Diceros bicornis minor: one gene and its partner. The protein of the gene in region 1 purifies or fractionates together with the protein of each later gene. This does not show direct contact. Links are inferred from orthologs where the notes say so. Each region holds a gene or a part of one and is shown in the gene's direction. Other genes may lie near its edges.

The links.
Region 2: the proteins of CHD8 (region 1) and KPNA6 purify together in Homo sapiens (affinity purification with mass spectrometry; 4 studies listed by BioGRID and IntAct, with this or other methods). This does not show direct contact. The link is inferred for Diceros bicornis minor from reciprocal best matches to the Homo sapiens genes CHD8 and KPNA6.

What each region holds. Positions count from the first base shown.
Region 1 is NC_080744.1:27,896,091-27,904,368, forward strand, and holds the start of CHD8 (chromodomain-helicase-DNA-binding protein 8), read left to right. Parts: upstream 1-5,126; 5' UTR 5,127-5,198; intron 5,199-6,354; exon of another isoform or gene 6,355-6,640; intron 6,641-8,278. Other genes in the region: RAB2B (ras-related protein Rab-2B), read left to right, coding at 177-245, 897-1,004. UniProt on the Homo sapiens protein: ATP-dependent chromatin-remodeling factor, it slides nucleosomes along DNA; nucleosome sliding requires ATP. Acts as a transcription repressor by remodeling chromatin structure and recruiting histone H1 to target genes.
Region 2 is NC_080752.1:46,919,240-46,926,503, forward strand, and holds the start of KPNA6 (importin subunit alpha-7), read left to right. Parts: upstream 1-4,031; 5' UTR 4,032-4,171; coding exon 4,172-4,175; intron 4,176-4,215; exon of another isoform or gene 4,216-4,284; intron 4,285-7,264. Other genes in the region: TMEM39B (transmembrane protein 39B), read left to right, coding at 554-796. UniProt on the Homo sapiens protein: Functions in nuclear protein import as an adapter protein for nuclear receptor KPNB1. Binds specifically and directly to substrates containing either a simple or bipartite NLS motif.

The sequences.
Region 1 (8,278 bases):
AACTACTCTCAATGGCTTTTACAGGGACTTTGGGGGACCTTCTGTGTTTGTATTCAATTCTCCTAATGGTTCCTAATTTACCTTAAAAATCCAAATAGGAATATTATTTGTATTCTCTTTTTTTCATTTCTCTAGGTAAACTTGAGGCTAATAATATGATTTTTTTTCTCCTTTAGGCCTTCATTAACACAGCCAAAGAAATATATAGGAAGATCCAGCAGGGTTTATTTGATGTCCACAATGAGGTGAGAAAGGGTGAGGGGCTGACAATTAACTTTGCTTTGTCTTAAACAGGACAGGAAGCTCCCTAGAATATAATTATTCCCTAACATTGTACTATTTGAAGCTATGCCAATTCATACTTGGTTTTTTTATGTAGGTACACAGGAACCCGTCATCATTTTCTGTTTTTCTCTCAAGTCTGAGACCTAGAATGCTTAAAGAAATTAGTTGGTGATCTAAAACGCATATACAGTATGGGAGGTTTTCTTCTCAACCTCAATTTTTACTATTGCAGGGCATGGGGGAGGTGTAATTCTTAAGTGCTCAGCAGGGCCATTTCTATAAAGCAAATTCTGGGGCAAAACAAAAAAGAATTATATGCTAATAAGCTACTTCTACTCTACATAGCTGTGAAACTTAAGTATTAACAGTCACCTTAAAAATGGGTACAAAATACACTTCTATGCATCTGTAATACTTATACCACAGCTGGTCATTTCATCCTTACTGTCACAGATTATTGTTCCACAACAGTCTGGCTAGGGCCCATGGTTACCTGCCAAGGTCGTATTTGCTTTTAGAAAATAGAATTAATGATTTCTCCTTTTATCCTGCTCCTTTCTCCCATTTATTTTAGCGCTGAGGTGGGAACTATTGCCTCTTTTCTTTTACAGGCAAACGGCATCAAGATTGGTCCCCAACAGTGTATTTCAACATCAGTGGGACCCAGCGCCTCCCAGCGGAACTCTCGTGACGTAGGGTCCAACTCTGGCTGCTGCTGAACATCTGGCCTGGACTCTGTTTTTCCTTCCCGGAACAGCTTCAGATCAATAGGCTTAAAGAAAGAGGTCTTACTTGCTTTGGCTGAGAAAGCCTCTTTTCAAGGTGTGATGTTTTGCCTTTCCACTTAAAGACCAGGGGAGAATTTGGGCCCTTACTGACCTGTCCTTCTTCAGGGACGTGAGCATTCCCTATAGATTAGGGCTCTTCTCATCCTCCTATTTTAATTTCTAAAGTGTTAGAATCAAAGTTGATTGTCATGGTACTTCAAAATAAATAAATCCTTTTATAAGCATACACAATCTGCTCCCCACCAAGAATTAGTAACAAGGGTCTAGGACATTCTGCTTGAGCACTTGAGATTCCTGGGATCTGGCTGGCCTTTGGATGATAGATCCTCTGCCTAGGAATTTCATTGAGGTTTTTCACTTGCCACTTCTTAAGGGTTCTTGCAGAAGGCAGTTCCTCCTACTTGAACTGCTCAAGGATGCTGAATACTTCTTTACCATCCCATTGCTAGTTTCTCTGTCTTAGAGTAACTACAAAACTTTTGAGAGCAGTGGAATTGCTCCTGGACCTGTGGCCACTTATCATCATTACCTAAAGAAAACATTCCTTCCCTGTTCGTTTTGTTCTAGGGACCAGACCTAACATTGCAGTATCTTTCACCAAAAAGACCCCTACTGTTTCATCACACTCACTTCTTAACTAGACCTATTTAGACTTTCTACTCTAATCAAGCTAATCTGCTTACTGGACATGACATATTTACTTCCACTTCTATGCCTTTGCACATGCCCCACTCTCTGCTAACAATACTCAGAAAGTCCGAAATTTTTTCCTTCAGAAAGCCGTCTTTGACTGACCTAGGGACATCTAAACAATTATTGACCCAGTACTCCTTAGCTTTCATATGTTGTTTATTCATATGTATATTTATTTGTATTTATATTACTTTGTAAATATGTTTTGTAGTTGTTCTGTGGACTTCTGTCTCCCCATATAGGTTGTAAGCTCCTTGAGAGCAGGAACCATGTTATCCTTTAGCTTCTGTAAACTACTTCCTCCACCATTCCTTTACAGTGCCTAGTGCTACTCATTATGTGTTCACTGAATTTGACTGACGTACTTAAAGACTTAGAACAGGTTTATTTTAGACTGCAGAGGAAACACAAGGCCTTAGAGTCTTCTCTTTGTAACCTCCATCTCTTTCATCTGCTTACCTTGGATTCTTAATTGCTCTTCTCCTGCTCTTCTTTCCCTTCCCTGGCTCTTTGCCTCCATTCCATGCACCATACAGTAAGGCTGCCTGCTTCCAAGCAGTCAAAAAAGTAGGTACTTGTCTAGCCATTTTCCTTTTCAAGAGCTTATAATACTATCCTAGCCAAATTTGCCTTTGCTTTACTCATCATGCAGCCTTCTCAGTCAGTTGCTATATCTTTTTGCCTTGATGTCCTATTCTCTTCCACAGCACTGAGGTCTCATGAATTTTTCTAATTTTTTTTGTTGTTGATGAATTGTTTCATTATTAAATATATGCATGTATCCAAGCTGCTCATATTTCATGTGTCATTTCTAATTGTATCCCAAACGTAAGTAGATACTGTCCTTCTAGGAAATTGTATCAAAGGTAATGGAAGCAGCCTTCTTGAGACATTTATTTTATACTGGATTCTGCCCCCAGTAGTAGTAGTAATAGTTAACACTGCACCACAGGAAGTTGAAAGACATTTGGGGTATTGCTTTGATTATGCTTTTGTTTTGTTTTTTAAAATCCGACCTCATTCCAAAAAGGATTTGAGGCTGTTGAATCTGGGGTTAGCCTGCTCCCTTACTCCAGGGACAAAACTAAAGTAAATATAACTTTATATTTTCTGTACAGGAGATTTTCTTTACCAACCAAAACGATCTTTAGTGACTGGGAGGCATTAGAGCATTGGTCAAAGACAGCATTCTGCCTAGAGCTCCTGCTTTGAGAGACATTAATGGATACCATTTTGATATTCTGGAGCATATCTTTTTAATCCTAAATCCCACATCCAGTTTTAGTATCCAAACCACTCATAACCTTCTGTACTTGGGTATTTCACCAATTGTAAGGGAAGCACAAGAAACACAAGTATCTGGGCAAATTTGTGAACTGTTGATCATTGCTGATGTTCTGAGTGAAATGGTCATGAAGAATTACCATAGAAAGTGGATCTCCCACCGCCATGTAAAGAATGGTAGTTATGAGATGATTAAGGGTGTTGATTGGTTTTTGAAGGCCAGAACCATTGGAAATCATACTATTGACAGCAGTCTAAGTCATACTAAATGATTATAGATCATTGCAGGTAGCAGAAATTATTAGACAAGGCACACTCTTTCCCCTTTCTATAATGCCTGTAACTGGTTCCTTTGATATCAGGTTTATTTTGTACCAAATAAGCAGAAGGATAATAGGTTCTCATTCTAGAAAGTATTAATAATTAAGATCATATCTGTACATGCATTTACAGACAAACACATTGTTCTGGTAAATCCTAATCCTAACCTCAAATTTGATATAATGACAGCAGTAGCCAGTAGACAGGGGAGAATTTGGCCAACAGATTTTGTTCAATATACAGGGAAATATATTTGGCCAAGGCTTATGACTGCCCTGATAAAATATTAACTCACATGACTCCTTAAGGTCTCTGGGCTCCCACCACGTATGACAATGCAAATATGTTATTCCTTGAGAAATTCCTTTAATTGGGAGGACTCCCTTCACTCACGAGTTAAAAAATCAAAAACTTTGGGGCTTGCTAGGTGGCGTAGTGATTAAGGCCACACCCTCTGCTTCTGCGGCCTGGGGTTCGTGGGTTCGGATCCCAGGCACTGACCTACACAATGCTCATCAAGCCACCCTGTGGCGGCATCCCATGTAAAAAATAGAGGAAGATTGGCACAGATGTTAGCTCAGGGACAATCTTCCTCAAGCAAAAAGAGGAAGATTGGCAACAGCTGTTAGCTCAGGGCCACTCTTCCTCACCAGAAAACCAAAACCTTCTTGTAGCAAGTTGTAATAGCAGTAGAGATTTAGACTAGGAAACACCTGAAAAATCTTTCTCATTGAGTGCAAGAGAATTTCACATACGATAAAATTATTTCCTTTCCAATTTAAATGCAGTTATTAGAAAATTAGTCTCTGCAGCCAATGTTTCCAAGGTTGTCCCCTAAGGGCCCTCCTCCTTACATATAATTTCTCCTCTATCATTTACCTATATTCACACGTAGTTTGAGTCTATTGATGAATTTAGGCCTTTTTGAAAAAAACTGAAATTCTTCCCTTAATCCTATTCATTTCCCATTGACTCACAGCCCTCTGTACCGTCAGTCAGAACACTGGAAAACTTGCAAATGAAGCATATGGATTAGAAACATCTACAATAGATACATAACCTTATGTTGGTCATGTGCTGATATCCTGAGGAGTGAGGTGTCTATAAAGGATTATCCCAGGAACTGGGAAAACTCACTCTCGTTCCAAGAATTCATTTTTGCTTCTTTGATTTGGTAAGATCGCTTCACTCCTATGAGGGGGGGGGGGTGGTTGCCTCTAGCTATATTCAACATTATTCCAGTTTCTCCCCATGGCGACTGAGGGACATTCTGATTATATAAACGAGAGTATGTTAGGGCTGGAGCTAAGAAGTCCTACAGAACGCCGAAAAGGGCTTCAAATTCTTTAAGCACTCCTTCCTCCTCCCAGTCCCCAAGTCACGCACCAGCCGGGTCCAAGATGGCTTCCCAGAAACAGGTACCTAAATGTTGTTTTAGTTTAGAGCGCCCCCAACGGCGGGGGTCAAAAAATATGCTGTGAGGCCTGAACGCCTGTAAACTGGGCCATCAGAAGCGAGCTGCCGCCAGATTTTATTTTCAATCAGGCATTATCTGTGGTTGCCTACGTACCCTTCTCAGCCTTTTAGGACCTCCCACCCACAAGAGACTTCCTGAATGACACTCACACTACCCTGCTGGAAGAGGCCGGGCATCGGCCCTGCCATTGGTGGGTCGGAGCGTAGGTGGGCGGAGCCGAAGGAGAATGGACTACTAGCAAGCCAGGTTGAGAGGAGGGCTGGCCATGCTCCGCCGGAAGGCGCCTTGTTCTCCGAAAGGGTGAGTTGAAACGCTCGCTGGCTGGAAAGGAAGCCCCAGGACTTATTCAGGTAGGATTCCCGCTCACACCCGCTGCTCAGTGCTGGTCCAAGAGTGCTTGCAAAAGCTAAAGCTCTTAGAATTGGTTTCAATAACTCATCCTCCTCCTCGCTCCCCCGCCCCCTGCCCGTCCCCCGGTTGTGAGGGATCAGGTGCTGGGTGATGCTCTGGACTGAACCATTCTCCTTTGTGAGAGGCCGGGGGAGAGGGCGGCTGCCGGGCCACAGGGCCCGAGCCCGGACGGGCCGCACGGGGGGCTGCGCCGGCCGCTGTGGAGTTTTTAGGGCTTGTCATTGCCTACCGGGCGTGGTGTAGATTTGAGGCAGCTTCTGGTTCTCCTTGCGCCTTCAGAGGAGGGAAAACTCCCCGGCTCCGTTTGGTTACTCCATACTTGGACTCAGAAGTGGGAGGTTAGGGGGGTTTTCTTTTTTCTTTTTCATTTTTGCTTAGTTTTTGTATTCTAATAATAAAGGTGGGTAGGAACGCTTGGGATGCGCGTGTGCAGATTAATATACCTTCTTAGGTGTAATTTCTGTGGGTCTTTGGGAGAGAAGAGCAGGGTATTGGCGAGTGTTTAGAGATGGTGGGAAGAGAGGAGCTCAAGCTTTGCACCTGCATTGACAGGTCTGCAGAGCTCACTGGTTTTCTGTTGCATTATGTAAACTCTTCCCTGGGAGAAGACCCCTCCCCCTGCCTAGGAGCGAATGCAATTTCTTTATTTACCTGTCCCTAGTGTCGCAGGAAATTTCCCTGCTATTGCAGCTGCTGGACAAATGCAGCAGCTCCTACCTTTTAAGGGGCAGTCCTGAAGTGATTAAGGGTTTCAAAGACGTGTTTAGTGGAGGTGTAGAGGAGTGTAGCTGTTTAGTGGACCAATCTCTTTTCAATGACTGAGCATAGTGAGCCAGAAGTCAAAGACTTAGAACTCGATGTCTTTTTCTTTTTAAAGAGTAGACATGGTGGAACGCCCCAAACACAAGCCAGAGGAGCTGCATTATCGGTGTCTACTGCATCCTGCCATCACACCAGCGTCCAAAGATTATTTGCTCTTCATGTTGTTCTGAGCCTGTCATTTCAGTCAGGGATTCTCTGACTGGGTTATCTTTAGCATCAGCTGAGGTCCTGTCTGTGTGGGGCACTTTAGATACTAGAAAGTGAGTTTGTGATTTGAATACTAATGTCCTCTGTTAGTTAATTAGATACTGTCTTCTACTTAGGAATTTGTTTTGTATTGGTCGCCAAATAGGTTTAGGTTTCAGAACAAATTGTGGTCAGCCTCTTAGGGCCAGAAGGTGGGAAGCTTCTCATTGCAAGTATTTTGGAATTATCCCACCCCTTAAAAGAAGAGTTATGATAAGGAAAACAACATTGTCCATCTAAGAAGACCTGGGTTGCAAGAGTGGCATGCCAGTGGGTCTGCAAGGCAAGATGAAGGGCATTGGCCAAAGAGAGAGTAGGTATGTGTGTGAAGAGACAGGCTTGGGGGAAGGTTTAAAACTGATGAAGCAAAGGAGTAATGCACTAGGATAAGGGATTTGATGGAGCAATGTATGTGTACTTGCACAGTTCACACTTTCCCCAGGTTTGATCTGTCTTGTGCATCTGGCCTTTTGATTTTCTCAGTTCCCAAATTGACAAAATCCATTTAGACATGGATAGAATATGATAGAAATATATAGAAATCTGCTGAGCTGGTTGGGAATCACCAGGAAACACACATCTTGTATTTCCTGGGACAGCCTTATCTGCAGCATAACTGGGTGATGGAGTGGAAGAATCTTGGCATTGTAGTAACCACTACTGCAGAGCTTCAGTTGAAACAGGAAAAATTTGATGTTTTATGTGAAGAAGGGTCGAGTTTCTGACAGGTAATGTAGGATGGTGAGGGGATCATTTTTTGAAAGAAACCGTGTACACGTTTTTCTAAGCAAAAGTACCATTTAAGATTAATTTCTGGGTGCCAAGAAATGTGCTTGCTTACTGAAAGAATGAGATTTGATATTCTCATCTGTGGAAAGACTGTAACATTTTCAGAGCATTCGCATGAGTGTTAAATGCTTTCAAGTTACTGTTTGTCCACAGCCCTGTAAGAGTTAAGCTATCTTCTAAGCTTACATTGAGCCTAATACCTGGGGGGTGAACAGAAGACAAATATGTTTCTGGGCTCTCAACCCTCACCCCTAGAAGTCCCTCAGCTGCTGGACTTGCCTTTGAGCAAGTCCCTGATCTACAGGTCTTGCATGACCTACCCTACACTACTGTGACTAACCTAGTCTTTACCATTTTACCTTTAGCATTTGATTCATTGATAGACTATCATTTCATATCTTACTCAGTTTAACTTTGTATATCTCCTCTTTAATTAGTTTTGTATCCTTTTCTTCACAAAGTTGGTGGTCTTCCTTTCATCCTCCTGTTAGGATTTGTTCACTTTGCTTTTTATGTTAATTCACTGACGTTGTGCCTTTTTGCTTCTGTCTTGGCTGAGGCCTTTTAAGGAATGTAAAGAGACCCTGATTTTCAAGACGTGGTTTCTTTGGTACCTAGTACCCGAGTGATAGTTGTGTTTGTATATAACAGAGCTGTTGTATGAACCGTTTACTATTGCCTAAAAGTTTATTTAACTATTTATTACATTCTAAATTTTATCTTGGATAATCTTTCCACTCCTTAACCTCTCAGTATTGTCTTGTGTATGCAAGTGTATGAAGTTGCAATTTAGCTTTTTTTTGTGTGTTTTCTAATTCTTTCGTATTGCCTTTAAGATTTTCATTGTATTTGTATTGCAAAATAAATCCACCTCTTTGTAGTCACTAGATGTTTTAAATTTAAACTACAAAGTATATTAGTCTCTGAGATTTCTCATCAATCTGTTCTTTAGGTAACATTTTTTGTTTTTTGCCCTTTTACTGTCCATTAAAGGGCTCTTGGTTGTTTAATGTCACAAAATGGTCAACTTTAAAATATCTTAATTCTTGCCTTCAGATTGCAGCAGGAGACTTTTAAAAATAAAACACTTAGGGGACCGCCCATTGGCGTAGTGGTTAAGTTCATGCGCTCTGCTTCGGCAGCCTGGGGTTCGCAGGTTCGG
Region 2 (7,264 bases), on another chromosome or scaffold:
CTCTTTTGAACTGATCAGAAAATTTTTCTTGAGTCCCTATACTCTGCCTTGCCCTGTAAACACCAAGTAAGAGTGAGGTATCACTATGTCCCCTGGAAGCTTCTGGCCTAGCTGGGGATGCTACACATGAAGTAGTGGGTGACTCATGCTGTAGAGTCTATAATAACTTTCCATGCCTATGTCATAAGATTCTAATTTGTTCAGGCCTGACAGTACCCAGGAGGATCACATGTAAAAAGGTGTTGATTTTAGACCAGAAAAAGTATGAAAGAGTGAGTAAGACCTCTCAAGAAAATCTTCCTGGAGGAGGTAGAAGTTGAAGAGGATCTTAAACAATTTATATGGGAAGCAGTAGTCTTGACAGAAGGAACAGCACAAGCAAAGGCAGAGAGGTGGCAAAGTCTGCGCCTATCACTATGAAGTCTTCTTCCCCACCCAAGTCTGCATGGGGTCCCAAGAGCTTGTCCTCTTCACTGGCCCACCCAGAACTCCCATCCAAGAAGCAGGTTTCTGGAATATACTTTCCAGTCCATGCCTACTCTTTCCTGGGCAGTTCTTTTTCAGCAAACCCTTGCGGATCCTCAACATCCTTCTGCTGCTGGAGGGTGCCGTCATTGTCTACCAGCTGTACTCCTTAATGTCCTCTGAAAAGTGGCACCAGACCATCTCACTGGCGCTCATCCTCTTCAGCAACTACTATGCCTTCTTCAAGCTGCTGCGGGACCGCCTGGTATTGGGCAAGGCCTACTCGTACTCGGCCAGCCCCCAGAGGGACCTGGACCACCGGTTCTCCTGAGCCCCAGGGCAACCCCAGGGACAGCATCCAGGCTTCAGCCAGGGGCTCCCTGGGAAGGGGCTGTTGGGGAGGGATGGGTGAGGGGCAAAAACAAAAAAAGACAAAAAAATCCACCAGAGCTTTGTATTTTTGTTACATACTGTTTCTTTCTTTGATAATTGATGTGATTATGAGGAAAACAAAAGTCCTATTTTTATACTCCCAATAAGCCTGTGTCCTGTATTTCTTTCCCTTCTTGCCTGTCAGGCAGAAAGCAGATGTGTGGGATTCTGGGTGGGGAAGCCCCGCTGTGGCTCCTGGGGCCCCTGTGGGCTCTGCCTTCTCCAGTGGAAAGGAGATGAGTAGGCACCAGAGGTCATGGTAGCAGTGACAGCTGCTGCTAGCTGAGTGCTCACTGTGTACCGTGCTGCTCTATGTGTATTATAGGCCTTGTCTTAATCCAACTTTCATGATAATCCTAGGAGGTAGGTGCTGTCACTTCTCTTAAAGATGAAGAACGAGCTCAGAGAGCTGTAATGACTTGCCCAAGGTAACACAGCTAGGAGGTAGAGCTGGGCCCCAAAACCTTCTGAAAGGTGACATATTAACCTAGCAGAATGTGATGTCCTGATTCTCTCAGCATGCAGTCACTGAGACCCTGCTCTCTGCTAGGTGCTGTGGTACATGGTGAGGATGCCAAGACACAGAAACAAGTCATACTACACTGGGATGGGTGTAACAGTTACAGGGGAGGGAATGGTTAATGCTCTGTGGACTTCCTGGAGGAGGGGTAGTCTGAGTTGTATCAGCCACTTCCCAGGTGGACAAGAGGGAGACTTGGCAGAGTCTACACTTAAGCAGAGAAAAGCGTACGAGTAATAGCACAGAGATTTGGAACATCGTAATGTATTGGGGGAAGGGAAGCAGAATGTGGTTCCTAGAGCAGAAAGGATAAGGAAAGTGAGGTGGGGGTGGGTTGGAGCTAGAAAGGTCTGCAGGGACTGGATCAGGGAGGACCAATGGCTCTAGGCTAGGGAGAGTGAGTGAGCAAGGCCAAGTGCTAGAGTGGAAATACAAAGCTGCTTGGAGGGCCACCTGGCTCTTAGGGGGCATAGGATGGAGAGCTCAGGAGTAAGAGAAGAGGAGACACAGACAGTCATAGCCACTTGTCTAGTCTGCCCGTGTTCCCCGAGCCCTATTGGCCACAGGATATGCAGATAAGTCCACGGTGGTGTATTAGAGACAGACACTGCAACCAGCGTTTTTGATGCCTCTGTTGAGGAAGGCATTGTGCCAGGTGCTGGCACAGATACAAAGATGAGGAAGATTCTATCCCTTCCATAGACAACCAGCAGAGAGAGACATTGTCATGAGCAAATTAGGGTGCTAAGTGCTGAGGAAAACATGTGTCCAGGGCACTGAGGAGCAGAGAGGACAGACACCCTGACTCTGGAAAGACAGGCTTTTTCAAGGAGGTGAGAGTTGAGTCTTGAAAGTGAGTAGGTCACACCATGGTCAAGAGGAAAGAGAGGGCATTGCATTTCAAGCAGAGGGAACAGCATGTGCAAAGGCACAAGAGAAGATAGGGACATATTTGGGGAAAAGTGGTTCCCCAAATATGGATGGAGCCTGGGTTGCCTGGTGGGGAGCAGCCTAAGAAGCCAGTAAGGACCAGCCCGTGTGTCAGATTGAAATGTTTGTGCATTACCTAAGGGCAGATAGTAGGAAGTTGCTGAGCAAAGGAGTGACATGAAAAGGTCTCTGATTTTAAGGAGATAGTGGGTGCGGGTGGGAGAGCTTGGAGGCAGGAGACCAGTGAGGAGGCAGGCAAAATAGACCAGGAGAGAAAGAAGAGGTCTGACCTTGAGCAGTGGCAGTAGGAATGATACCAAACCAAGTGGGCTCGCCTCCTGGTGAGTTAAATAAGACTCTACACCAGTGGAAGTTGTCTCACAAAGTAAAGTGTATTTGCAACAAATACTAGGCCATGAGGAATCATTTCCCAAGTTGTGGTGTCCCCGAACAAAGGGAAGCAGGAACTTTTATTTCGGTTGGGGAATGAATATTCAAAAGGGAGAGGTGGGTTATGCACTGCAGATTATGGTAATGAGGCTTAATCTCCGCTTGCAGAGATCGCATTAAAAATCAGGCAAGGTCATGGGCATAGCTCTTGTAAAGAGGCTTGGTTGCTTCAGAGTGGTTGCTGGTTTTGTCTCCTTAACATAAAAACACAACTTGGAAAAACAGTTAAATGCTTCCAAACCCACCCTTGAGTTCCTTGGGGCACTAGTCAGTGACAGGAAGAGAAAGGTAGTGCTCCCTTTCCTGACCATGAGTTCTAGAGTGGGGTTTTTGAGTTGTTTCCCTAAATGAGCCCACCAGGCACACAACTAGAGTTGGCAATTTGTTGTGACAGGACCTGGAAGCCCACATTGCTCTTTCTGCTTCCAAAAGGCATCTCCCTCTGGGACCAGTGACTTGAAGACATAGGCTTCCTCTGTGTGTTGAGGTGGAGGACAGGAGGACGGGCATGTCACTATGCAAAAAGGGAGGCCTACTATGTACCAGCCATAAATTCCATGATTCAAAAGGCACATGAACACTCAGAGCCTCAATTTCCTCATCTCTAAAAAGGGAGATCATATCCCTTGCTTTGTGTAACTTACAGGCTGTTCATTTGTTTATTCATTCAACAATTATTTATGGAGCACATACCATGTGCCAGATACTGTGCTAGGTGCTGGAGATACAGTGATGAACAACACAGGACCCACCCTTGCCTTCAGAGAGCTTACTGTAAGGACAAATGAAATAGCTCTGTTGACTATAAAGCACTGCACCTGTCTCATTCTTTTTCTACTTCTTATCTCCCAATAGGGTTGTAATCGGGTTTACTCTTGACTTCATTTCCCTACCTCTATATCCTTGAGCAAGTCACTTCCCCTCTCCAGATGATTCCTTTTTCATATCCAGCTCAAGGGTCTATGATTGGCTTTAATTACGAAAGGAAGGAATATCTTTCTGGGAGAAAAAGTTTCTAGGGGAGGAAATCTCACTATAAAGAGGAAATAGTAGCAGAAAAACCTGGGAACTCCCAGGCACGCTGAACTTTCTTTAGTAGGCATCCCTCCCAGTCTCTCTCCGCCCACTCCTTTCATATTCCGCCCCTATTCCCCGCCTTTAATAGCTGCGGTCTCTTTAAGTGTGCGCCTTGGTGTGAACTAGGCTGCAGGGCTGAAAGCGCGTTTCTTCGCTGGACTGAATATTGAGTTGTTTGTCCGTTTCGGGCTGCCGTCCTGCAGATCCGCCATATTGTCTGCTGAAGCTGCAGCTGAAGCTCGCCGCTCCCGTCGCCGCCGCCGCCGCCGCCGCCAAGTAGGAGCGAGCGGAGCCGCGATGGGTGAGTAAGGAAACCAGGCGATTGGGGACTCGAGCTGAGGCAGTCTCGGGGTTAGGGGTCTGGCGAGAGCCTGTCTCCGGTCTGCAGAGGATATCCGAGGCCCTTTCAAGTAGGTTTGAGGGGAGAAGCCAGGCCGGGAGTGCCGCTCAGGCCAGTTTGGGGCCGGGCTAGGGCCCATGCGGAGATCAGTCTTCGGGGGCTGGTTCTGGGGACACCTTGTCAAGCCTGGAGCCCCCACGTGGTGGCTCTAGGCCGGAGCCTACGCGTTCCCGGAGGCTAGAAAGGTGCCGACCCTCCGGCCTGCGCCGAGACTGGGGCTGGGGGACGGGCTCCCGGCGGCAGGCCCAGCCGGTGCTAAGGGAGCTCTCTCCAGGCGTGTGTTTGACCGACGCGCATCTTGACTGGATTCGGTGACTCCCCTGAACTCAGGGAAATGTTGCCTACGTCGCGGGTTGAGTCCTCCGTTGAGGAGACGCCAGGCGAGCCAACTCCAGGCCCGTAACCAGGGGCAGCCATGCCAAAGGCAGCCTGGGCCGTTCAAGGCCGGGAGAAGTTCCCGAGCCGAGGCGGAAATGGGGTGGTTCGGTTGGTCTCAGAGTGGACAGCCTTCGTAGTGGTAGAAAACCAAAGGCCGAGACTTCGTGGCCATATATAGGTCGGGGACTTCGGTTTCTGCGCCCGGCCCTGGTTAGGAGAAAAGGAGCGACCTGTTGCTCGTTCTGAAGGGACTCCAGCTGGCAAGGCCTGTGCTTAGAATACGATGGCCAAGTTTTTGGACTTAGGGACAGAACTGTCAGTGGTATTTCCTCTCCAGCAATAAAAACTATTAAATTTGCTAAGCTCTTCCTATGTGCAGGCATTGTTCTGACTGCTTTACATGTCACGTTTCACTTAAAGTGCACAGCCTAATGAGATACATACTACTGTTACCCCTATTTTACAGATGGGAAAACTGAGCCTTAGAGAGGCAAAGTAACTTACCCAAGGTCACACAGTGGCTAAACCAGAGTGATCACTCCAGAACCCTAGTTTATAGCTGCTGTTCTTTATGGCCTGGCCCCCTGGTGGTTGGGGTGGAAGAGGGGGGAAGAAAGCTTTTAACCCTAGGGAAAGTTGTAAAGGTGGTTTGCTGTGTTGTTTTTTTTGCTGGTGGGCCGACTTTGAAATCTTTAGTCTGAAGGAAACTGAAAAAACTCCAAAGTGAATTGCTAACCCCAGCTACTGCGTGGGGCGGGGGGGGGGGGGCGGCTAAATGAGATTCTAGGATTGAGTTTTGTAAGATTCCTGATTCTGAGGAAAGAAAAATTATTCCCTTGAGCTGCAATGCAGTGACTTCAGAATCAGATCTGGTATTTTAATCCTGCCTGCCACTTCCTAGCTCTCATCCAGAGAAGTCACTTAAATGTCAAATGCAGTAATGCATAAGGAAAGCATCTAGCACAGTCCACAATAAATGTTATGTTCCTTCCTTTCTGAGCCTTCCTTTCCTCATCTCTAGAAAGAGGGGAGGGGGCAGTGTTATCAAGGTGTTTGAGAACTAAATAACATAACACAAGCGTTTGGAGTCTAGTAAGGGCTCTATAAATATCAGAACAGATTCCTTTCCACCCTCAATGTTAGTTCCTTTCCCTTAAGCACTCTGGTTTCCAGAATCCTCCATTAAGACTGATAGGCCTGTCTTTATAACTGCAGCTTTATGTATCAATGAAAAATTTTAGGGGTTTTTATGTTATAGATTTTTGTGTTGGCCTTCAATTTCAGAAACCCTGGTGTCTCAAAGGGAAGTGGCTAATGTTTAGTTTATTAAGCTCAGTGAAATAAATTTGGTAGTGGTTTACTCAATTTTTATAGACTGGGGAACTACCTGAGAGAAGATAACACAGCTAGTAATCAGCAAAGCCAGAAGTGAGATTCTTACCCATTTTGCTGCCCGTAAACCTCTTACAAGACATAAGGTGTGAAGTAAAGTTAGTCCTTTTTTAGTAGACTTGGAAATGAAAGTTCTTCACTGGAGCAGCAAAATCTGACCAGAGGCCCGAAGGAGATTTTTAGTCTAGAGTCAGGCAGCCTCTCCTTTTCTCTCCAACTCCATTTCAGGTACCTCTCACCTGTGCCACTTTGTCTTTTTGAACATCCAGCTATTGGTGTGTGTTTGGAGTTTTTTGTTTTTGGCTGATTCTTATACCATGGGAGTGAAACTAGTGTAAGGATACATTTAATCCTGACGTCAAATCTGAGATAGTTTGGGTTATCCTCATTTATAAATGAGTAAACTGAGGCTTTCAGAAGATTAGGTGACTAGTCCAAGGCTGGTGATCTAAGCCCTTTGAGTGCTGGGGACACTAACAGGGCCTGCGTCACATTTCCATGAATCTAGAACCTGCTGTATTTCACTGCCTCTCAGGTATACTCTCCTTGAGCTCTGGCCTATATCCTATACTATTTCTCACTAGCCTTAAGAGACCTTTGTAGTGATTTCACTGCCATTAGGAGCCCTGTAGGCTTCATGCAGCTCTGGAAGTTACTTATTCTGACCCTTCCTATCAGAGACCACAGCCTCTCAAGACTAAGTCTTGGCAGATGCTGGTTGTTTTATCACCATTTCTGCCGTGTTGCTTCCCAGGAATCTGGCATCCCCTCCCCAGCCTCAGAGGGTGGGTCTTGATTAATATAAACTCTAAACCAGTCATTGTAATTCTATCTCCCTAGGCAGTGATTGCTTTAGGCATGGGCATGTGACGCAGTTCTGGCTAATTAGATGTGGAGAAAAGCCTAGGGGACTTCTGGAAAAGCCTTCCTCATTTCAAAGAGATTTGCCTGGTTTTATTATTTTTTGCCAGCTTATATTTTAACCCACGTATCACCAAAGTGTGAGAGCCTCAAAAAAAGACAGAGAGATGGGAAAGCTATAATGATAGCCAACACTTATATAGAACTCGCTATATGCTAGACACTAAGTTCTATAATATTAACTCATTTAATTCTCAGATTCTCATGTTCTACTTGAGGAAACTGAAGCACAGAGAGGTTTAGTAACTTTTGCAAGGAAAAGAGCTAGTAGAAGAACCACTTACTCAAGTAGTATGGTT